Linked DNA regions of Alligator mississippiensis. The protein of the gene in region 1 interacts with the protein of each later gene in a pairwise test. Links are inferred from orthologs where the notes say so. Each region holds a gene or a part of one and is shown in the gene's direction. Other genes may lie near its edges.

What was found.
Region 2: the proteins of KLHL42 (region 1) and STAM2 interact in binary tests that used the Homo sapiens proteins (3 or more experiments, as listed by UniProt). The two-hybrid records come from large-scale screens. The link is inferred for Alligator mississippiensis from reciprocal best matches to the Homo sapiens genes KLHL42 and STAM2.
Region 3: the proteins of KLHL42 (region 1) and SERTAD1 interact in binary tests that used the Homo sapiens proteins (3 or more experiments, as listed by UniProt). The two-hybrid records come from large-scale screens. The link is inferred for Alligator mississippiensis from reciprocal best matches to the Homo sapiens genes KLHL42 and SERTAD1.

What each region holds. Positions count from the first base shown.
Region 1 is NC_081827.1:138,674,221-138,681,867, forward strand, and holds the start of KLHL42 (kelch-like protein 42), read left to right. Parts: upstream 1-4,614; 5' UTR 4,615-4,735; coding exon 4,736-5,583; intron 5,584-7,647. UniProt on the Homo sapiens protein: Substrate-specific adapter of a BCR (BTB-CUL3-RBX1) E3 ubiquitin-protein ligase complex required for mitotic progression and cytokinesis. The BCR(KLHL42) E3 ubiquitin ligase complex mediates the ubiquitination and subsequent degradation of KATNA1.
Region 2 is NC_081827.1:226,524,773-226,532,274, forward strand, and holds the start of STAM2 (signal transducing adapter molecule 2), read left to right. Parts: upstream 1-4,497; 5' UTR 4,498-4,595; coding exon 4,596-4,635; intron 4,636-7,502.
Region 3 is NC_081838.1:2,495,784-2,502,850, reverse strand, and holds SERTAD1 (SERTA domain-containing protein 1), read left to right. Parts: upstream 1-4,290; 5' UTR 4,291-5,108; intron 5,109-5,500; 5' UTR 5,501-5,504; coding exon 5,505-6,392; 3' UTR 6,393-6,485; downstream 6,486-7,067. Other genes in the region: SPTBN4 (spectrin beta chain, non-erythrocytic 4), read right to left, coding at 1,169-1,207; BLVRB (flavin reductase (NADPH)), read left to right, coding at 1,667-1,748, 2,701-2,862, 2,943-3,032, 3,186-3,317, 3,390-3,553. UniProt on the Homo sapiens protein: Acts at E2F-responsive promoters as coregulator to integrate signals provided by PHD- and/or bromodomain-containing transcription factors. Stimulates E2F1/TFDP1 transcriptional activity.

The sequences.
Region 1 (7,647 bases):
ATCTACACATGGACCTGGGCACCTAAAGTGAGTCTGCTCAAAGCCAAAATTGCAGTATTTAAAGGCTCTGCTTAATTGCAAATTAACCCCGTAGCTGCTTGACTTTTCATCACTTAAAATTTTCTAGCTGTTTAGTGTTCTGCTTCTGCACACAGCCACAAGCATCTCAGTCTTAACAGGACTATGCAGCTCAGTGCCTGTTTCACATCTGAACTCCAAACTAACCATTCCCTGCCTATGTCCCATGAGTGGCCCGATGTGGTAGGCATGTCTGAAGTACATCTAATATCACAGGACTGGGAATTACACAGGTTGTAGCCATATCTGCCACTTCCATTCAACTATGTGGCAGAAGTAGTATAGGCATACCCCTAATCTCTCTTTGTCTCAATTTTCTCAAGTGTAAGCAGCACCATACCTAGACTCCTGGCAGCCCTGAGCGAATTTTTACTATCAGGCCCTCCTTTGCCAGAGATAATGATACTAATAATAATAACAATTACCATTTTCGGGCCTCCTTTTTGTCCGGGCCCCAGGCAGCCACTGAGTTTGCCCATGCCTATGTCCAGCCCTGAACGTAAGATAAGAATAATTATACTTTCTTTCTCCTATTCATTGTTATTTTGTTGGCATAGATTTCATACTTTTTTCAGAGTGACATTTGTCTCTTACTTTGTGCTGATCCAGCAACTAACACAGTGCAGCCCTATTCTCATTTGGGTGCTGAAGGTGTGGCTATAACCTATTGCATCCCTCTCTTGTGCTCTTTCCAAGAAGAAAGCCACAGAAGTAGACATCTTTCATTCAAGCTGCACAGACTTTCTAGAAGTCCCTGGTTGATTCCCTGCTGATTGAGCAGATGATAACTGGCACACGATCAGGAACTTTTCTGGGATTCAGGCTTATTAGATATTATTTGGCTTACTGTAGTGTATAGGAACTCTGATCATAGAAAGAGCTGTGATAATGCTGGCTCCTGTATGAACAGAACAAAAAGATGGTCCCTGCCACAGTGAGCTTATGATCAAAGTATAAGAAAGAAACTAGGATGCAAATAGTTTTGTGTTCAAGAAAAAATAGGATGCATTTGTCAGCATAATAAATATGATAACTGTACCTGCTGCCCCTTGAGATAATTGCCAAGCCTGACCCTGGATAAAGTGAGCAGAAGACTGACCACCCAGCTGTGTAAGTCCACGGACATGGAAATGTACTATTGTTCTGATAAAAATGGTTGCTCAGCAGAGAACACTGATGACCCTTCCTGCCATATGAAGGGTCCTGGTGAAATCTCTCTCTCAGGAGTTCAGAAACCTGAAAAAAATGATCTTGGGAGCAAGAGAATACTTCAACAGTAGTTGAACAGGGGTAAACAATATTTACATTATTATGAAATTGCAGCTAATTGAAACAATAGCTGGAATTCAATTGTTTATAGAATTCCAGCTAAGATCATCAGACCTCATACAAAGATGACTGGTTCTATACTTTTAAAGAGGACTTCAATAACAGGATGGCTTAGCATGGACACTGATGTGAAATAGAGATATGTTCTTTCTTTGCTACCATTTGGCATAGCCATAGACTGGATAGCAGAAGGTACAGGCAAAACAAATGCTAACATGCCCTGGGTAGATGGCAAATGTCTAGAAGACCTAGACCTTGCTGATGACATTGTGTCGCTGAGTGACACACTTAGAAAGCTACAGAGAGAGACAACCTGGCAAAAGTTGCAGACCAAGCAGAGGCTCAAAGTCAACTACATCAAAATCAAACAAATTCCTCCCCAAAACAAAAACAAAAAACCCTTCTTGAAACCCAGGAATCAAGTAGATATATATCAGAAAGCAGATGCATAACTAATAGCACCACATTATTCAATGGACACCTCAAGAAGAAAGTGACAGGAAAGACAGGAACAGCATTCTATAAATCACTAAACTTAACTTACGGAACTGGAAGCTATACAGAACCAGAACAAATCTGGGAATTTTCAGTTCAAATGTAATCTCTGTGCTAATGTGTGGCTGTGAGAGTTGGAGATCTACCCTAATATGAGACAGGAAAATAGATGGCTTTGAAGAGAGGTACTTACAAAAGATTCTCAACATTGAAAAGAAAGGTTTTATCATCAACAAAGTGATCCAACACACCATCAACCAGCAGTTCATTTTCACCAGAACCAGACTGATGGGTTTCATTTGGGTGCCAAAACACAGACTTACATAGGAAGCCATCCAAATGAAACAGCTGTTGTGAAGAAAAGAGATGTCTAAAAGAAAACTTAAAAAGAGTGTTTAGCAGTGAGGGCAGAACAGCACCATGGAACAAATGGAAGCAGCAGTAAATGACAACAGGAATAGAGACTAGTTTCTGCCCTGTATACCAACACTATTACAGGAATGTTGTAATATGCTGGTAGGCAACGGTTTCCATACACCAGAAGTTTAGCCTTTACCATGTGCTTAGCAAATGTGGTTAAGACAAGACTCCTCTGTCTACCCCACTAGGACCTGTCAAGAGTAAGTACTTGCCATATATAGTAAGTGTTTGCTTTGTATTTATCCTAGCAAATGTGAATTTGTTTCAATCAGTCCGGAGGTCGCACCAATTGTTAGGGCACTTTTGATGTAGCAATAACTTTCGCCAATCTTCCCGGTCTTTTGCAATTCTTGTACAAAAAGATTGTACAAGACTGAGTTTGTTACAGTTCTAGGCTAAATAGCTTGGTTCATTAGTTTAAGTTATTCATATAGATGCCTAGGATTTAGAAGAGTCAAGCTGAGTTCATAACCCTGCCACAGCTTTCCCATGTCACCTGGGAAAAATCACTTAATTGATCTGTTCCCAAGTTGTAAAAGACAGACACCTGCCTCTTTTTCTAGCCATATTCAAAAAAGGGACTGGACAAATTCTTGGAGGAAAGGGGCATCAGTAACTATTGAGAATGGGAGCTAGGGGCATGGCCTCTGAATCAGAACTTCCTAGATCTTAAATGCTGGAGGCTGCTAGTGAGAGAGGAACAGTGAGAAAAAACCCTGGTCATACCCAGTTCATTCTTCCTTTCAGCATCTGTTCTCTGCCACTGTATAGGTTATTGGGCATATATCAACTGGTTTTGGGGGGACAACTAAAGAGAAAACTGTGATGGGAGTGAGGTCATAGGTTCATAAATGGTGGGTCTACACAAGACATTTACTATGCTGTAGCCTAATTAGCTGTGCAGTAAACACCTCAGCATCTACACATGCCCGCCCAATTAGGCTGCAGTAAACTAATTTACTCAGTAGCAGGATAGTACTTGTAAATATTTACAGGTACTATCCTGTTGTGGAATAAAAAACTCTGCAGCAGTGAATGTGTAGATGCTGCCTCAGCTGGCTGGGGTGTGAGGATACTTCAGTGAGGAGGCTGTCTGCCAGCTAGACCTGTGCTGAGGCACCCTTGTGCTCCAGCCAGCCCCTCTGCAGCACGCTGACCCTCCCAGCTGGGGTCCCTGCTATCTGGGGCTGCTCCAACCTGGCTCAATGTGCTACAATCCTGGGCACGTGTGCAAATGGTGTGCCTGGAACAATAAACTCAGGTGCAATAAGTACCGGAGTTTATTGTACTGTGTTAATATGCATGTATAGATGCACCCAAAGAGTGCACCAAGGGGGAACACCGAGCAGAGCACACCGGACAGTGCCCACTGGCCCTTGAGCAAGTAGAAGCCAGTAGACACTGCTCAGCAATACTAGGCTGGGAGATGGGATCAGACCAGGGACAGGAAAGTGGCCCTGCAGTCCCCAGAGGTCCTTTTGGCCAGATCTTCTTCCCTGGTGAGATACATTGCGAGCTTGGCTAGGGCCAGGAGGAGGTCCCACAGGCCTACGTGTCACCCTTTAAAACACATAGGCCCAGCCTACCAAGTCTCTCATTGGCCTCCCTTAGGCGGGGAGGCTACAGGAAAAGGGGACAACAGATTTCTTGGGACAAATAATGAAAAAACAGGGAGGGGAGTGCGGCTCAGAAGTTCAAAACAACCGTGCTGAGTGGGGACACCAAGCAGAGCACACCAGACAGTGCCCACTGGCCTTCAAATGAGTCCAAGGAGCAAGTGGACACTGACTAGTGATACTCTGCTTGGAGATGGGAGCAAAGCAAGGTGAGGAAAGCAGCCCCAGAGTCCCTGGGGACCCTCCTGGCCAGAGCCTCCTTCATGGTCAGGTACACGGCCAGCTTGGCCAGGGCCAGGAGGAGGCTGACCGGAGGTCATGAGGGAGACAGGGTGAGATGAACCTAGGGGCTGAGCCAGTCGATGGGAAATCTTCTGTTCTTAGGCTGGCTTTGGACTCACAGGCAAACCACCTCTCTAGAAGAGGAGCTGTGCAGCTTGCACTTGCTGGACTTCACTAGATGTTTTGAACGTGCATGAGAGAGACAGAACGAGTGTGAGAACATGTGCAAGTGAGAGAGAAAGTGTATGTGTGTAAGAGAAATGTGTGATTGCAAGAACATATGAGCGTGAGACAGAAAATGTGCGTGGGAATTCGTGCGCGAGAGAGGCGGTGTGACTGTGAGGCGGGCGGGGTGCGCGCGGAGCCTAGTCCCAGAGCCCCGCCCGGGGCAGAGCGAGGGCGGGCCGCGCGGGGAAGCAGCATTGCCTTTTTCGGGCCTTTCCCGCCGCTCGGGGCGGAGGCCGCCTCCCCGCCCCGCCGCGCCCCGCCTGCAGTGTCGGGGCTCGGGCGCAGCAATGTCGGGCGCGGAGGCGACGGGGTGGCGGGAGGAGGCGGAGGCGGTCGGGGAGGAGACGGTGCGGATCCGGCTGGGCGAGCGGAGCTATGCGGTGTGCAAGAGGAAGCTGGTGGAGCAGAGCGACTACTTCCGCGCGCTGTACCGCTCGGGCATGCGGGAGGCGGCGCCGGGCCGGGCGGAGCAGCAGCTGTGCGGCGGGCTGAGCGCGCGGGGGCTGGAGCTGGTGCTGGACTTCATCAGCACGGCCTGCCTGGCGCGGCTGGAGCAGGAGCAGGAGCGGGAAGGAGAGGGCGGCGGGGGTGAGCCCGGCCCGGTGCTGCAGGAGCTGGTGGAGGCCGCCTGCTACCTGCAGGTGACCCCCCTGCTGCGCTTGCTGCGCTCCCAGGTGCGCCTCGGCAACTGCCTGCAGCTGCACGGCTTGGCCCAGCTCTATGGCCTGCGGGACCTGCAGGAGGCCTGCCTGGACTTCATGGCTGCCCACTACCACCCTGTGCTGTGGCAGGCCCGCCTGGTGCTGCCACCCGCCCTGCGCCAGCATCTGGCCCAGAGGCGTATGCGGGGCGCCGCCACCCTGGTGGCCGTGGGCGACTTGGCGGGGCGGCCCCGGCAAGAGGAAGGGCCGGGCTCCATGCTGCGGTACGATGAGGTGGCTCAGCAGTGGCTGCCCCTGGCCAACAATCTGCCTCCGGACCTGGTGAATGTGCGCGGTTATGGGGCGGCAACACTGGACAACTACCTGTTCATCGTTGGGGGCTACCGTGTCACCAGCCAGGATATCTCGGCCGCCCACTGTTACAATCCATGCTTGAATGAGTGGAGTCAGAGGGCGTCCATGAACCAGAAGAGGTAACCTCCCTCCCCATCCCGCCTCATCCCCTGCAAACATGTACAAGCGGTGCGTTAGCGGCGGTATTGCCAACTCTCATGACTTTGGGCATTGTTCTTCAAGTCTAGGCTTCGGGAATGTGAAAAATCTAGCACTTTCTTTTATATATATTTTAAAGAACTAGGCTTTTTGCATTCTTTAATTGTGGGTGAACTATCCAATGCTTGGTGAATTCTGCTTCACAGTGATAGGAAGCATAGACTTTAAGAACAACGCCAAAAATCACAAGAATTGGCAACGCTAGAGGTAAAAATGCCCTGGAGTCATGGACCCAGTAATAGAGGGACCAGTTTGCCATTACTTTGAGCCTAGTCATTCACATCTCACCTCCTTTTGTGCTGGGGTGAGTGGTGCTCCATGGGGTGCTGAACAATGAGGAATTTACCTGATAGTAGCAGTGCTCAACCTTTTGATCCATGGGCCAGATGAGAATATGGAGCCCATCCATGGTTCAAATGGGACCCTGCCCACCAGGAATGGGGCCTGAGCTGCCTCTACCCAGTCCCATACAAGAGGATTGAGTTCCAGGGGCCCCCACATGATGGAGTTGGGACCAGTGCTGCTCTGCATGCTTACTAGCATTCACAGCCACAGCACGCAGGTCTTCCCACAGATTCTTGGGGAGCCCTATAGGCCAGATGACACGGCATCGGGGGTAGAGCATCCCTGGCCGATAGAATCCAGTAGGCTGTGTGGGACCGAGCTTTTAAACATGATTTTTTTTCTTAAATAGAACTTTGAGGTAGAATAGTGAAGGCAACCCCGGTAACCCTCTGTTCCTGTACTCAGGTTTCCATCTGCACATGGAGAAATCCAGCTGGTGTCAATGAGAGACCATTTGGAGCACAGCAGGCTAGAATTTTGGACAGAACGGTTTTCCACTGGAAATTGCAGTTTCCTTAACTTTGAAATTGGTTTCCCCAACTAGCTTGGTTTTAATGATGGTTTTCCCTGGACAAGCTGGTGCAGTGTTTCCTCATCTTATTCTGATGACTAAAAATTTTGGGGACAAAATGCTTTGGTTTCAGTTTTCACTTTTATTCATTTGTTTTTTGGCTAACACATTTCATATGTTGTCATGTCTCATTATCACAATGAAATATTGGCGTTATCTCATTGAAACAAAGCATTTTGATGTTTCATAGCCAACATTTTCAGACTTTCCAGTCTGTAGAAAATTTCGATATTGCACTCTGATTTGGACCAAAAACTAAAGTGAAACGTGAGAATTTCCCATGGAACTGAAATATCATTTTCTAACCAGTTCTAGTCAAAGTTAAGTCTCGTCTAGTCCAATTATTATGCTCATTGTACATGTAATTGCAGGCTCCAGTCAGATATTGTGCTAGGTTCTGTACACGCATGCATTTCAGTTTCTGATCTAGGGAGTTTGCAGTCAGATTTCTCTGAGAAGGTTGTCTATCCTGAACTTGGTTCCTTCCAACCTTACCGCTTGTTCCTGTTAAGTTATAAAAATGTACTGAAGTAGGGCAGACCATAATTTCATTCTAGTTGTCACTAGAATTAGTCAATAGAATTCAGTATTTTTCAGTTAAGGGAAAGTTCTTTCTTTTTCTTTTAATTCACCTGGTTGAAATTAATATATTTAGTTAAAACATAAATTCCTCTCAATAAGACTATGATCATGTACCAAAGGGTGGAAGAACCAGTGCCTGACATCACTCTGGCAGATAAATCTCTCAGTGTCTTTGACAGCTTTTGTTACTTGGATTCTTCAATCATCAGGAATCTTGACTTTCAGACTAAAGAAACACAATCGGAAAAGCAGCTAAGAATTTCAGGCTATTACAGAAACATGCATAGAATAACAGCAGACTATCAGATAAGGTGAAGATGCAAATCTATTAAATTTGCCTGCTGTCATCCCTGCTTTATGGTTTGGAAACATGGACTACATATTCTAGGTACATCAGGAGCCTGAGCAATTGTGCAAGATCCTGAAAATCATGTGGGAAGACAAAATGGCAAACAGAGGTGATGGACCATGCAGGACTGACACACTT
Region 2 (7,502 bases), about 88 Mb from region 1:
CTGTAGCCTCTCATTGTAGGGTCTAACCTGCTGTCCCCCCTGATCATCACCTGTGGCCAGGACCAGGTCCAACAGGGTATTTCCTCTGGTGGGACTGTACACCTCCTGGGTTAAGCGGAGGTCCTGTATCTTGGCCAGGAACCTCCTGGAACGGTCCGACCTGGCTGACTGCTCCTCCCAGCAGATGTCCGGGTAATTTAGATCACCCATGACAACTACATCCCTTGCCTTAAGTGCCTCTGCAAGCTGGCCCAAAAATTCCCGGTCCAGCTCCACCCCTTGGTTGGGGGGTCTGTAGTAGACCCCCACCGTTAAATCCCTCTCCCCAAGACACCCTTGTATATTGATGATTATGATTAAATTATGTAACACTGTACACCTTCGGCAGTGTATTTCTTGATGATTATGATTAAATTCTGTAACACTGTACACCTTCGGCAGTGTATTTCTTTTTAAATTATGTTTAAAAAACATAGAGGGAAGCTCTGGGCCTCCTGCAGCTCAGGGGCTGCACAACCCGATGGCAGCTTGCGCGGGTAGGCTCTGCTAAGACAAAAGAAAAAAGCAGCAGTAATGAGCCTGATCTTTTTTTTTTTGCTCCCAGAGACTGCCTGCAGTCTTCTGTGGCCAGGGAGTGAGCTGCTGGTGGGCTGTGCAGCCCGAGTTGTGGGGGGACCCTGGTGCTTCTTTCCGTGGTGGCAGCACCCCCCGGGACAACCCAAGTGGGGTGCTAGTACATGGGTGCTGCCTGGGGGGCCCTGCCACCACAGAGGGAAGCACCAGGGCCCACTGCAGCTCAAGGCTCACTGGCCATAGTAGAGGCAAGAAGGCTCCAGAAAAGAAAAAAAAAAGATTGGGCTCCTCACTGCTTTTTTTTTTTTCCTCTAGCGGAGCCTGCCCTCTCTGTGGCAAGGGTGTGTGTGTGTTATGGAGCTGACGGGGCTGTCACTGCTGTCATGGTGACGGAAGTCCCTAAATTGAAACAGTGGGTTTTAATCAACACAAAACCCCACCAATTCAAAACCGGCCATTTCAATTTAGGAAGAACTAAACTCCCAGCACGTGAACAAATGGCCACAGAGATTAAGTGGAAGGAAGGGGTGGGGGTGAACCAACCATGGAACAAGGAAATCAAGAGGAAGGGACCTCAACTAGGATGCACTAGCAGACACACAAAAGGTAAGAGAGAAAAAGATGGCAGGAGGAAGGTGAAGGAAGGGAAAATGGGCAGGTATCCCTGGATCCCCTTCCCAGTCTAGTAATGATGTAGGGGCTCTGTTCTACACAGCAGGTACAATCATCTTTCCATTGCATCCATTAATCTCTCAAAAACCTTTTCATGATATTTTCTTCTAACTCTAAGAAATATATACAATTGTATCTTGTTCATTGCACAGTTCATAGATGGAAAACAAGGAAATAAATGTGTTTATTAGATCTTTAATAAGGAAGTGACCTACTGTGAAGAGAGAGATTGAATTATACAAGGTGCTACATGTATTGTATTAAATCAGTAACCAAAGTGTTAATTGTTTAAATATATTCAACTTTTATTTTGCCTTCCAATCATGGATCACCAATTCTTATACATTAATAAGGCACATAAGCTAGACTACAGTCCACCTGAGATGCTATATTCTTATTTGTTAGAAGAGCTTCATTACAGAAAAAAATATTCACAAACTTATCTTGTTATGACTTGTATAAAGTATGTTTAATTAGAAAAGCTCTCAGAATTGCTGGCTCTCAGTGCTATATTGACTCTCTTACTTCCTGTGACCCCTTGTTTGTGAAAGCTAATTATTTTTTTAAAGAAACACCAGTTTGCACACTGTCATTGTCTGGTACACAAAAGTCTTTTTTCACTAATGAGGGTTAAGTGGCTTAATAAATTTCTTACAGTCAACAGAAAAACTTGTAAAAAAAAATCCTCCTGTCCAGAGAGATTTAGAGAAAATTCTTTTAATAAGTCTGCAATATGGATTCAATTACTATTGTACAGAAAACTCACTACAAACTACAGTGCTAGATACAAGAAAAAATCATAACTAATAGAAATATGTATTTCATTCAACATTGAAGCTTTCCAAGTATACCATTTTAATGTGTTAAAGATACTGTTACAGGGTGGTGTCTTTTGGGTGTTTTAACTGAATAACATAAGTCATGAAATATAACATCATTGTAATAAATCAAGTTATATAAAGGCATCATATTATGCATAAAATACTGATTGCAAAATCATCCCACTGTTTCATGTGTCATTTGCTCTTCATAAAAGAGCATAAACCATTCCTATGAAGTTGTTAAAATGTGGGTCAGTTCAGTTCAAGCCTTAAAAAGCTGTCATAAATCCCACACCTGTCTGACTTTTTCCATCATTGTTACAAAGGACACCTGTTACAAGAACTGAGAGAAGAAAACTAAATGTTTATCTGGTGTGTTTATGGCCCTATCTAGTTATACTCAAGGTGTAATTAACCAAGTAATCAAGCAAGTTGTGAGCTGGCTACATGTTCCACCAATTAATGGCATGATAAAACAGGCAATAAGCTACAAAGTTATTCCACAAAAAATATGGAGTAATATAGATTGTTCTTATGGTGCCATTGTTTAAGGAGAGGGGCAGGTGTTCACAGCACTTCTTATGGAGCAACTGTCACTGTTTATCCTATTTAATCACCTGTTCTGTTTGCCGGCATCTACTGTAGACATGGCAGAAAGAAAATATCCTAAAACGTAGTGGAATGAAAATTGGCAGAGGAACTGAGGGGGAGCGGGAGTAGTTCCTAAAATCTATCAGGTCATCTTTAAGCATAATTAGATGTAGCTTCAAGTGCCTGGTGTCCCTCTGGTGTTATGAAAATACCTTAGGACAATTATGAAATCCATCTAAAATGAAGCACACTGAAACGATCCCTCATACTGCTGGTTATGGGACAAGCTGAAAACACTTGAAGAAGCCGATCTTGATCTCACAGTCTAGTACAAAGATGCGGGGAACAGAAATGGTCACACGTAGATACTCTCCTGGGGTTGGGGCAGTGTTTCCAGGCTGTCCAGGGCCCTGCTTGGCACCAGGCTTCTGAGCTTAAGTCCCCCACACAAAGGGCTGAGCTGCTTCCCGCGCAGGCAGGGGTCTGGGGAGGGAGATGAGCACGTCGGTGCCCACTGCCCAGATGCCACCGCTGTTCTGGCAATCAGGACTTGTGGTAGAGATGCTCTCTTTTATTAGACCAACAAGATTTTTGCAAAATCTTGTTGGTCTAATAAAATGCCCGCTGTTCTGGGCATTTGAGGGAGCCCGTGAGTGCCTGGCGCCTCCTGAATCTGGGGGTGCACCCGCAGATTTTGCAAAAATCTTGTTGGTTTAAGAAGAGAGATCATCTCTACTATAAGTCCTGAGTGCCTTTTCTTCTAGACCAATACGGCTACAACCTGGATACCCGGCACACAAAAGATATCAAATTTTAGCTGATTTCTGAAATGAAATCTTCGTACTTTCCCAAGTAGGAAGCAACTGTGACCGCCTGAAACTGCAGATCCTGCTCTTGCCTTTGTTTCAAGGTAATCTGCATCAGCACAGACCCCGACAGGAGGTGAGGCTCCTTACCAGCTATGAACCGACTGCCCAGACGAGTTTTGCATCTATCGACTCCTCTGTGAAATCCTATGAAATATGAATTTTCAATTCTACCCAGGGGAACTTTATTTTTTCTCCACTGCCTGATGAAGGGTGTCTGGGCCCAAAAGCTGGCCATTAACGAATTTATTTTATTTTTTTTCAAAAATCTTGTTGGTTTCATTAATCAAAGATATCACCTCTGTCCACGAGCCCCGATCGCCTTTTCCTCTACACCAACATGGCTACAACCTGGATGCCCGACCGCTGTTCTGGGCACTTGAGGGAGCCCGTGAGTGCCTGGCGCCTCCTGAATCTGGGGGTGCACCCGCAGAAACCGCCGACGGCAACGGCCCGGGGGGGAGGGGGGGGCACGTGCACCCCCTACCAGTCGCCTATGGAGAAGCCTCTCCCGCCACTCAGACGAGCCCCCATCGCGACCGGCCCGCGGCTGGCTCCACCCCGCCCCGCCCCGCCCCGCCCACCAAACACGTCAGAGGCCGCAGAGACGCAGCGAGGCCCCGTGGGGCTTGGCTGCCCCCTGCGGGCCGCGCTGAGAACATCCCGCTGTCTACGGCCCCTGGCCAGACCCCGCCGCCTACAGCCTTGCCTTCGCTCCAGCCCCGCCCCCGAGTGCGCGGGGTGGGCGTGGTCGCGTGCAAGCGGCGCTGGTCTCTCCTCCTCCGCTCTGAGGCCCCCGGGGTCTAAGCCGGTGCCTGACTCTATTGCCCCGCTCCGAGAAGCCGCCCGGCAGGTGCAGGGCCCCGGGTGGGGGCTCCTCCGGCCGCAGGGGGAAGGTGGTTCTTTTCCGCGGGTCCCCGTGTTTTGGGTCAGGCGCGGCGCGGACGCGAGCGGCGGGGCCTGCGCGGCGGCGGCCGGAGCCGGAAGCGGAAGCGGGCGCGGGGAGGGGCCCGGCCGCGGGGAGCGAGCCGCAGCCGCCTCGGGCTCCGCCATCGTCGTCGCTGTCGTCGTCATGCCGCTGTTCACCCCCAACCCCTTCGAGCAGGATGTGGGTGAGTGCGCGGGGCCGGGGCCTGTCTCCGTGGGCCGGGCCTGAGGGGGGCTGCCAGGGCGGGGAGTGGAGGAGCGGCTCCCTCCTGCCCTGTCACGGCAGCGGCTCCCAGGCCGGGGCGCTCCTTCCCTGCGGCCGCCCTCCTCCAGGCGGGGGCTTGTCGGGATGCCGCGGGAGGCGAGCGCTGCCTCGGATAAACACGGCTCTGAAGTCGGGGCCACGCACGTCCCTGAAGTGGCGGAGGGCGGCGGGTGCTTGGAGGCCAGGGAGGGTTGAGACCCGCTGCTGCCTCCTCTCCCCGTTCCCTCTTGCGCAATACCGGGCGGACTGTAGGTCATCTGTCCTGTCTTGCGGGCGTTTATCCTCTCATCTGTTTTTGTAGTTCAGGTTCCTGCTGTTTGGGAAGACACACAGGTTTTTAATGAGAGGTGTTGCTATCGTCGGGTGTTCTAATGATTGTAACATCTGTTTCCATAGAGCTGCACAGCAGTTAAACGCCGACCTGCAACCGTGTCTGCTGCAAGCAGGTTTTCACACCAATTGCCTTGTTTCTCTCTGTAGCATGTAGTGGGCTGAATTGCCTAAATTGGGGGTGTCAGATAGAGGGGCACTGATATATCGGTCCATATCAGATCGGCATTGATAAAAGGAAAATTGATATTATCAGCAACCGCCTTTTTAGTCGGTGTAGTTGGTGGCATCGCCGATAAATGCCACGTGAGCAGCCAGGAATGCAGCCTGGCAGCTTGGAGACCAGCGCCCAGTGGGTAAGTGTAGGGGGATAGGGTGAGGGGGCAAAACAAGCAGCATCTGGGGGGAAGGGGTGTGGGGGAGAGAACGGGGGTGGGGGGGGAAAGCGAGGCCCCCATGATGAGGGAGGGAGTGGGCAGGCGCAGGGCGTGGGACAGAGCCAAGGGGGGCATGGGGTGGGGGGGGGCAGTTCCCAGCCACTTTGCTCACCCACGGGGGAGGCATGGGAGGGGCATGTACTCTCCGGATTTGTGTGTGGGGTGAGGGCGGGCTGCCTGCTGTGGGCTCGGGGCTGGGAGCTACTGGGAAGAGGCCAGTGCAGCCTCGGGCCCTGAGCACACAGTGGGCAGCCTGCCCTCGCCCCATGCACAGATCTGAAGGGCACGAGCTCCCCATGCCTCCCCCAGGGATGTGCACAGTGGTGGGGAGCTGCCCACCCCTTCTGTGGCCTCTCCCCACCCTCCCACCCCCCCAGATTTGCTGCCCACAGCTCTGTCCTATGCCCCACTCCACCCTAGCTGGTCAGTGCCTGCCCCTGCCCCAGCCCAATTCTTTCCCACATCATGGGGGCCTTGATCTCCCTCCCCCATGCTCTCTTCCTCCCACAGACTTACTGGCTGGACACTGGTCTCCAAGCTGCTGGGGTACGTATTGGCATTCAGAGCAGTATCGGCCAACGTGGCTGGTTAAGAATTGGCTGTTGGTATTGGGCAAAAAAATCTTTATTGGTGCATCCCTAGTGTCAAATGTATAACCTGTGGGCTGGATCTGGCATGAGATCAGCTGTATCTGGGCAGGCCTGCAGGGAGATCCATGCTCTGAATCCAGCTCGGGCCCCAGGTAAGTTTGGCAGTCCTGGCTTAAATTTCTTGCAGAGTCAAAAGAGTCACTCCTAGCTGGTCACAGTTTTGAAGTCTGATCATTTTGATACTGTAAGAGGAAAGTTTTGGGAGTTTAGACCCACATGGACTATATTTAAACCCTGAATACTACAGAAGTTATTGGTATTCAGGTTGTAGCTGTATTGGTCTGGAGGAAAAGGCAGTCGGGACTGGTAGTAGAGGTGATATCTTTTATTAAACCAACAAGATTTTTGCGAAAGAAGTCTTTAATTGCAAGCTTTCAGGCACAAACACTCTTGATCAGGCATTGGAGAAAAGATTGTAAAAGTTCTCCTGGGTAGAAATGAAAGCTCATATTTCATAGGATTTCACAGAGGAGTCAATAGATGGAAAACTCTGGGCAGTCAGTTCACAGGAGTTATTGTACCTTAGAAGTGAAATGTCATTTATTATAGGAAACTAAGCTTTGAGGCTTTTTTCTTTTTAAATTACTACTGCGTATGTTTCTGTCTGAACATCATTTCACTGGCTTATGCATTAGTTCCTGAGCTTGGCGTAGTCTGTGTTTAAAACCTTTCTAGTTGATACGCTACCTTTTTTTAGATGACATGACTCGTAACAAGTGTTATGCTCTTATGCATCTTACTTGCTTAGTCAAACTTTTGGGAGTTGCTTATTTTATAGTCAGCAGATTAAGAAAAAGTTCCATGGCTAGAGTCTAAAATACTTGATATCTTAAGGACTTAAAGCTTTGGTAGCTTTTTTTGTTTGTTTTTTTTGTGGGGTTTTTTTTTTTTTAAACAAGACGTACAGCTAGCTAGCAATCTGATCTGAAAGATACAGGATTTGCTTGGTTTACAAATCTAAATGGATTTAAGTCAGTGTACTTTGTATTTCCTCTCTGGAGGCCTAGGGTGACATCTTGACCAAAATGAAGACAGTAGGACCAGGGTTTCACTCCTTGTAAAACATCAGCTGGAAATTAATTTTATGGCATCAGATTAATCCTTGGCTGACATCTGTCTATTACAAAAATTACCAGGCAGTCTTGACAATGAGGATGGTGTTGACTCTGGGCCTCTGTGTGCTATATTTGCCTGTATAGCCTACGGATCATGCCTTCACTATCCTGAATACTGACCTTGTAGTTTTAAATACCTGTTTTAAATTAATCAGCACTGTACATTTAATTGGAAAATGTTTAACATAAAAACAATTTTTAAGTTGGCAATTTTAACAGAAAGCAGAGTTAAGCATTCTTGGGATTTTTGTCAAT
Region 3 (7,067 bases), on another chromosome or scaffold:
TGCACACACACGTGCACCTGCATACCCCCCAGAGGTAACTGGGGCATCCCAGGGGCCTCCCACCCCCTCCAGCCCCCGCAAGGCTCCAGGGACCCCCAGACAGACCCGGACCCCGGCACAGCAGGAAAAAGGCAGGTGTCCGGGGTGGGGTATTAACCCTTGGTGCCCTGCAAAAAGAGCATCCATGAGCCTCCACCCTGGCTCACTCGCGTGCACGTCTGTGCCCACATGTACACGCGCTGGGCAGCACGGTGGAGACCAGGCCGCGGCTGCAGCCAGATGGATGGAGCTCCAGCCTCCCTCCTGGGGCTGGGGCTTGCTCCGGCCCCGGCAGCTGGGAGGGGGTGCCCGGGAGCCCAGGGTGCAGCTCCAGCCCCTGCCCGCAGGACAAGCCCCGGCATCCCCGGTCTGTCCCTCCAGCCAAGGCTGGCTCCCTGCCCATCACCTTCAGCTGACACAGCCCCCCCCCCCCATCACAGCTCGGAGGCCTGGGCCTACACCCGGCGCAGCATGGAGCCCCCCCAGCCACCACCTGGCTCCAGCTCCGGGGCCTCTGCTGCCCCCCCGGCCTGCAGGGAGCGGCAGGGACGGGCAGCCCAGGCCCCGGCTCCAGCGCCCCAAGTGGGGGGTAGCAGGAGAGGGTGCTGCCCTCCGCGGGGGGCTCACACATGCATGCACACACGTGTGCAGGCCCACAGGCCCCCCTCTCCCCAGGCAGGGATGCATGGGTCTGCACACACACACACACACACACACACACACACACACACACACACGGGCAAGGATATGTGTGGGTGCATGCAAGGATACGCCTGCACAGGGGGGCACGCTGCCACGGGAGAGGGCACGTCGACACGCACACACACATGTGCACCTGCTCCCATGTGCAATGGCACGCATGCACACACGCGCCCCCATGCACACACACGCCTCCCCCCTGGCGCACATGCATGCATACAGATGCGCGCACACAATACAGTCATGCACACCCATGCACAAACACACCCAGACGCTCTCACACACGCGCATGCACACACACCCATGGCCACGGGCACACCCGTGCAGACACGTACCCATGCACAGCCATGCAGACAGACACGCGCGCGCACGCACACACACACACACACACGCACACACACGCACACGCAGCCCCCCCCCCGTGTCTCACCGGGGCCGCGGGCGCGGTCGCGGCTCCGGGCTGCAGCATCCAGGGATGCGCCGGCTCCGCCCGCCTGCCCGGCCCGGCCCCGCCGCTCGTCAGCGCCGCCGGCCGCGGCAGCCAATCCCCGGGCAGAGCCCCCTCGCCGCCCCCCCGGGTCCTGCGCCGGCCGCTCCCCGCGATCCGGGTCAGCCGGGGGGGCCGGGACCCGAACCGGGGTCCCCGGGGTGCCCGGCCCCGCCCCCTGCCCGGCCCCGCCCCCAGGGTGCTGCGGGGTGCAGGCTCTCTGCACACTCAGGCAGGCGGGGGCCGTCCCCAGGCCCAGGTGGGAGCCGCAAGGGCAGGGCTGGCACCCGGCCGCCCTCCCCTCCCCAGCACCGGCTGCATCAGCTGGCAGGGGCCGGCCCTGCGGGTGCCCGGCCCCTCTGGGTGGAGCTCGCAGCACCGAGCGCGCGGAAGGGCCCGCGGCGGGGACACCCGAGTGACAGAGGCACCCGCACCGCCGGCATGGCCACCTGCAAGAACATCGTCATCTTCGGGGCCACGGGCATGACGGGGCTGGCCACGCTGGCGCAAGCCCTGCAGGCCGGTAGGGCGGGCGGCGCGGGGGGTCCGAGCCAACCCCCGGGGCGCTGGGGGCAGAAGAGCCCCTGCCCCCTGGGCAGAAGCCCCGAGCACCCCCAGGGGGGCAGCTGACGGAGGGACACCCAGACGTAGCCCCAGGGGGTGCAGGGAGGGGGCATTGGATGGGCCCCCCGATGCCCCGGGCCCCGCCAGGGGTAGCTGCAGGAGCCCCCGAGCCCGCGCCAGGGGGGTGTGGACGGCGCATGGCGTGGGGAGATAAGCAAGGCCGTTACTGGTGGACGCCCTGCCCTGGGCACGTCCAGCAGAGATAGTTCTGCTGTTGCCCCCCGGACGCCTGGGTCCCCTCCCCGCTGTGCCACCGTGACCCGCCAGCAGCGGTGCTTGGGGATCGGGTGTTGGTGCCACCCAGACCCCAACCGGGATCAGGGCCCCAGCACCACCAGGTTGGGGCGCCTGGGGGCTGGTTGGCACCGGGTGGCCAAAAGGTGGGTCAGTGCAATCGTCTGGAGCAGGGCACTGGCTCGGGGTGCCAGGTGCTGTACAAACCCCATTGGCATTGGCCAAGAGGGGCCAGCCCAGGGCCACTGAGGTCCCCACGCGCCAGGGTGGCTTCTGCTGAGTCACGGTCCCAGCTGGGAGGGTGCTGAGTCATGGTCACGTGTCCCCAGCTGCTCGCCTGCCACATGCCCGAGCCGGGGGCGTGAGCCCATAGCTGGAGCACGGGCCAATCCAGGGCCTAACCTCAGCGCCACGCTGGGCCCAGCGGGCGCCAACAGGCAGCTGGGCACCCAGCCACCCCGGCCCTTGCTGCCTGGGCCGGGTGCCAGCCAAGACCCGGAGCTGGCATGGGCGGCACAAAAGCGAGACAGGCGCTGAGCCACGGGAGCGGGAGCCCCCCCCAGAGCCGGGGGAGAACCCAGGTGTCCGGGCCACGCTCACCCGCTCTCCCCCCTCAGGCTACCAGGTGACGGTGCTGGTGCGGGACCCAGCGCGGCTGCCCCCGGACCTGCACCCAGCACACGTGGTGGTGGGCGACGTGCTGGACCCCAGCGCCGTGGACCGGGCTGTGCAGGGGCAGGACGCCGTCATCATCATCCTGGGCACCCGCAATGACCTCAGTACGTCCCCTGCCCCCTGCCCCCTGCCCCCTGCCCCCTTGACCCGTCTCCTGCCCCCTGACCCGCCTCCTGCCCCCCAGGCCCCACCACCATGATGTCCGAGGGCACCAAGAACATCGTGACTGCCATGAAGGCCCACGGGATCCGCAAGGTGGTCGCGTGCCTGTCGGGTGAGCTCTGGGCTGCCAGGGGTTAATGCCAGGGGGTGGGGTGGGGTGGGATCAAGGGGTGCAGCAGGGCTGGGGGCCCAGACTCCTGGCTCCCATCAGGGGCTCGGAGCCGGGTGCCCGCAGCTCACAGCTCGGGTGGCCCCTTGTCCGCAGCCTTCCTGATGTGGGACCCGGCCAAGGTGCCGGCCAGGCTGCAGCCCGTGACCGACGACCACATCCGCATGCACCGCATCCTGCAGGACTCGGGCCTGGACTGCGTCTCCGTCATGCCGCCCCACATCGCCGGTGTGTGCCGGGGCTGGGGGGGAGGGGGGCAGCGATGGGGACCCCCCTGCTGACCCTCCCTTGCCCCCGCAGGTGACCAGCCGCTGACCGGGGACTACACGGTGACCGTGAACGCAGCGAGCGGCTCCCGCGTCATCTCCAAGCACGACTTGGGCCACTTCTTCCTGCAGTGCCTGAGCACGGCCCAGTACGACGGCAAGAACGTCTACCTCTCCCGCCACTACCCCAAGGAGTGAGCCCGGCCCCCGGCTGCCCACCCTGCTTGCTCCGGCGCCTGACGCTCCCGGGATGATTAAACCGCAGTGATTTTTCCCAGCCGCTCTCCACCTGCCTGGCCTGACGCCCCCCCTCCCGGCCTGGCCCAGACACCTGGGTTCCCTGCGGGAGCTGCCCACGTGCAGCAGGGAGCCTGGGGGGGTTGAAGAAGGGAGCCGGGTGATGCACCTGCCATCTGGGGGAACTGAGGCACTGCCCCCACTCCGCCACTGGGCTGGGGAGAACCCGGGCATCCAGGTCCGAGTCCGACCCCGCAGCCTGCCAGGCGTCCCGGTTCCCATTCCCACCCCACAAGGGCTGCTGAGCCCCACCAGGGGAGGAGGGGGCCTGGCAGGAGGCCAAAATGTCCCAGCATGCCCTGCGCTGAGCCCCCCCACTCTGCCCCCCCCCCCTCCACCTGGGACATGTTGGGATCTGCAGGCTGCTTTATCCCCATGGCAGCGCCAGCTCCAATCAGGGAGCAGGGCTGGGGGGGGCAGGAAAGAGGAGGCACCATGAAGGGGTGATGGGGGAGCTGCCCCATGGGAGGCACAGGCCATGGGGTGGTACCAGGCGGGGCAGGGGCAGCGTGGAGGGTCAGGGGTCATGGGGGATCGGGGTCCCGGGGGGCACCGTGCAGGGCAGGGACGTCATGGGGGGCACCATGTGATGCAGGGGCAACCATGGGGGGGCAGAGGTCATGGGGGATCGGGACTGGGAATGGCTGGGTGGAAGAGGGCAGCGGGGCCCATGGGGTGGAGGCGAGGGAGTCGGGGAGCTGCAGGGTCTGCGTCCGCCTCCGCGGTCACTACGAGGTCTGGGGGGCAGGGGCAAAGCCCGGGCTCCCTCTGGGCCCCCCGGGGGGTGCAGGCGTAGGTCAGGACCCGTGGCCGTGCCAGGCCCTGCTCCGCTTCAGGGGCCACGTGCCCAGGCCCAGGCCTCAACACCTGCCTGCGGCGGGGGGCCCTTCCCTGCACCCCCTGGGCCGCTGGGCGCCAGGCGGGCGTAGCAGGGCGTGCTGCGGTTTCGGTTCCTCGCCGCAGCCCTTCCTCTGCTACCCGCCTGGCACAGGGGTGCCCGGGGGTGCCAGGCTCGGGGGAGGCCGGAGCCCCAACCCCCGCCCCGCCTATTGGCGGCTGCTGTGAGCTGAGACCGGACACACTCATCTCCCCCCACGCGCCGCGGGGAGCCGCTGACGTCAGCCCCCCACTATGCAAATGAATCCCCCTCGCCTCCACCTATCAGGCAGAAGCAGGCGGGGCCTCGCGCTCCTTCCTCTCCCCTTTCCTTGACTCTCCCCCGTCCGCCCACGGAATGCAAATAAGCCCCCCAGCCCCACGCTCCGATTGGCTGGCCCGCGCCCCGCCCTTTTCCTGGCCTGGCCCCGCCCATTGGCTGGGGCCGGGCGTGCCGCGGCAGCGAGGATCGGCGCCGGGTCGGTGGAGGGGGGCGGGGGAAGAGAGGAGGGGGGGATGCCGGCTCCTGATTGGCTGCGCGCCGCGTTCCAGGCCCCGCGGATTGGCCCCTGAGGAGCGGGTATGTAAATGAGGGTCCCGGGCTCGGGGCTGCGCTGCGGGGAGGGGAGGGGGGCGGCCGGGACGGGGGGGGGCCGGGACCGGGGCGCGGGGGCGGGGCGGAGCAGAGCGGAGCGGAGGGAGCGCGGGCGGTGACTCACGGGGGGGCGGGGCCGGCCTGACTCACCGCCCCGCCCCCGCCTCGCCGGCGCCGGGCAGGACCGGGGTGGGGAAACTGAGGCACAGGGGTGGGGGGGAGCCCTCTGCTCCGGGCCTCAGTGATGGCACCTGCAGCCTGGGTCCATGGGAGCCGCGAGACCGGGGCGGGGAGGCAGGAAAAAACCCGGGTGTCCGGCCCCGCCCCCTGTGCCCGAGCCCCCGCGGCGCGGTGCTGAGTCTCCCCTTCCCTCGCAGCGCCATGCTGAACAAGGGCGTCAAGCGCAAGCGCGGCACCGCAGAGAGCGCAGGGCCGGATGCCCCCGCGTCCCCCGCCGCCCCGGCCACCTCCCTCTTCAGCCTGTCCGTGGTCAAGCTGCACCGGAGCCTGCGGCACGTGGAGCCCGACCTGCGGCCCCTGGTGCTCGTGACCAACGCCCTGCGGCGCCTCCAGGACCAGATGCAGACGGAGGCTGCGGCGCCCGAGCCCCCTGGCACTGTCCTACGTTGCCCCGCCGCCCCGCCGGATGGCTCCGGCGCCCTCCCAGACTGCCCCACATGCCCACTGGATGGCTCCGGCGCCCCCTTGGACAGCTCCGGCGCCCTCCCAGACTGCCCCACGGGCCCTCTGGACAGCTCCGGCGCCCCCTTGGACAGCTCCGGCACCCTCCCAGACTGCCCCATGGGCCCACTGGAGGGCTCTGGCGCCCCCTTGGACAGCTCCGGCGCCCTCCCAGACTGGCCCACGGGCCCACTGGACGGCTCCAGCGCCCCCTTGGACAGCTCTGGCATCCTTCTCGGCACAGGGCCTGCCATGCTGCTCCCCAGCCTGGACGTCTCGCTCGGCTCGTCCGTCTCGGGGCTCCTGGGGGACTTGGAGCCGGCGGGCAGCCTGGTCCCGGCGCTGTGGGGCGCAGAGTGCGGGGCACGGGCACTGCTGGCCCCTCTGCCGGACGAGGGGCTGGAGGGCGTCTTCGAGGACATCGACACCTCCATGTATGACGGCGAGCTGTGGGCACCTGCCGGCCTCAAGGCCTTGGCGCCGGCGCCGGGCGAGGACGAGGCGGCGCCGGGCCCTGAGGACGGGGGCCTGGACATCAATGACCTGGACTTGCTCATGGATGTGCTGGTGGGCCCACGGGGGCTCTGAGCCCGCTCCCAGGCCTGGCAGGCCGGGGGGGTCTTGGGCAGTTTGCCCCCCCCAGGCTGCAGAGCCGCAGGCAATGAAATGGTTAATGTCTGAGTCAGCTCCTGCCTCTTGTACCTGGTGCTGGGGCAAAGTTGGGGGGCTGGGAGCCCAGATGCCTGGGTGTTGCCCCAGGTCTTGGGTGGGGGGAGACCACAGGGAAACTGAGGCAGGAAGCGAGTCAGGGGCACATGCCCCCTTGTGGCCGAGTTTTCATAGATTCATAGATGATTCATAGACGTTAGGGTTGGAAGGGACCTCAATAGATCATCGAGTCCGACCCCCTGCATAAGCAGGAAAGAGTGCTGGGTCTAGATGACCCCAGCTAGATACTCGTCTAACCTCCTCTTGAAGACCCCCAGGGTAGGGGAGAGCACCACCTCCCTTGGGAGCCCGTTCCAGACCTTGGCCACTCGAACCGTGAAGAAGTTCTTCCTAATGTCCAGTCTAAATCTGCTCTCTGCTAGCTTGTGGCCATTGTTTCTTGTAACCCCCGGGGGCGCCTTGGTGAATAAATCCTCACCAATTCCCTTCTGTGCCCCGGTGATGAACTTATAGGCAGCCGCAAGGTCGCCTCTCAACCTTCTCTTCCGGAGGCTGAAAAGGTCCAGGTTCTCTAGTCTCTCCTCGTAGGGCTTG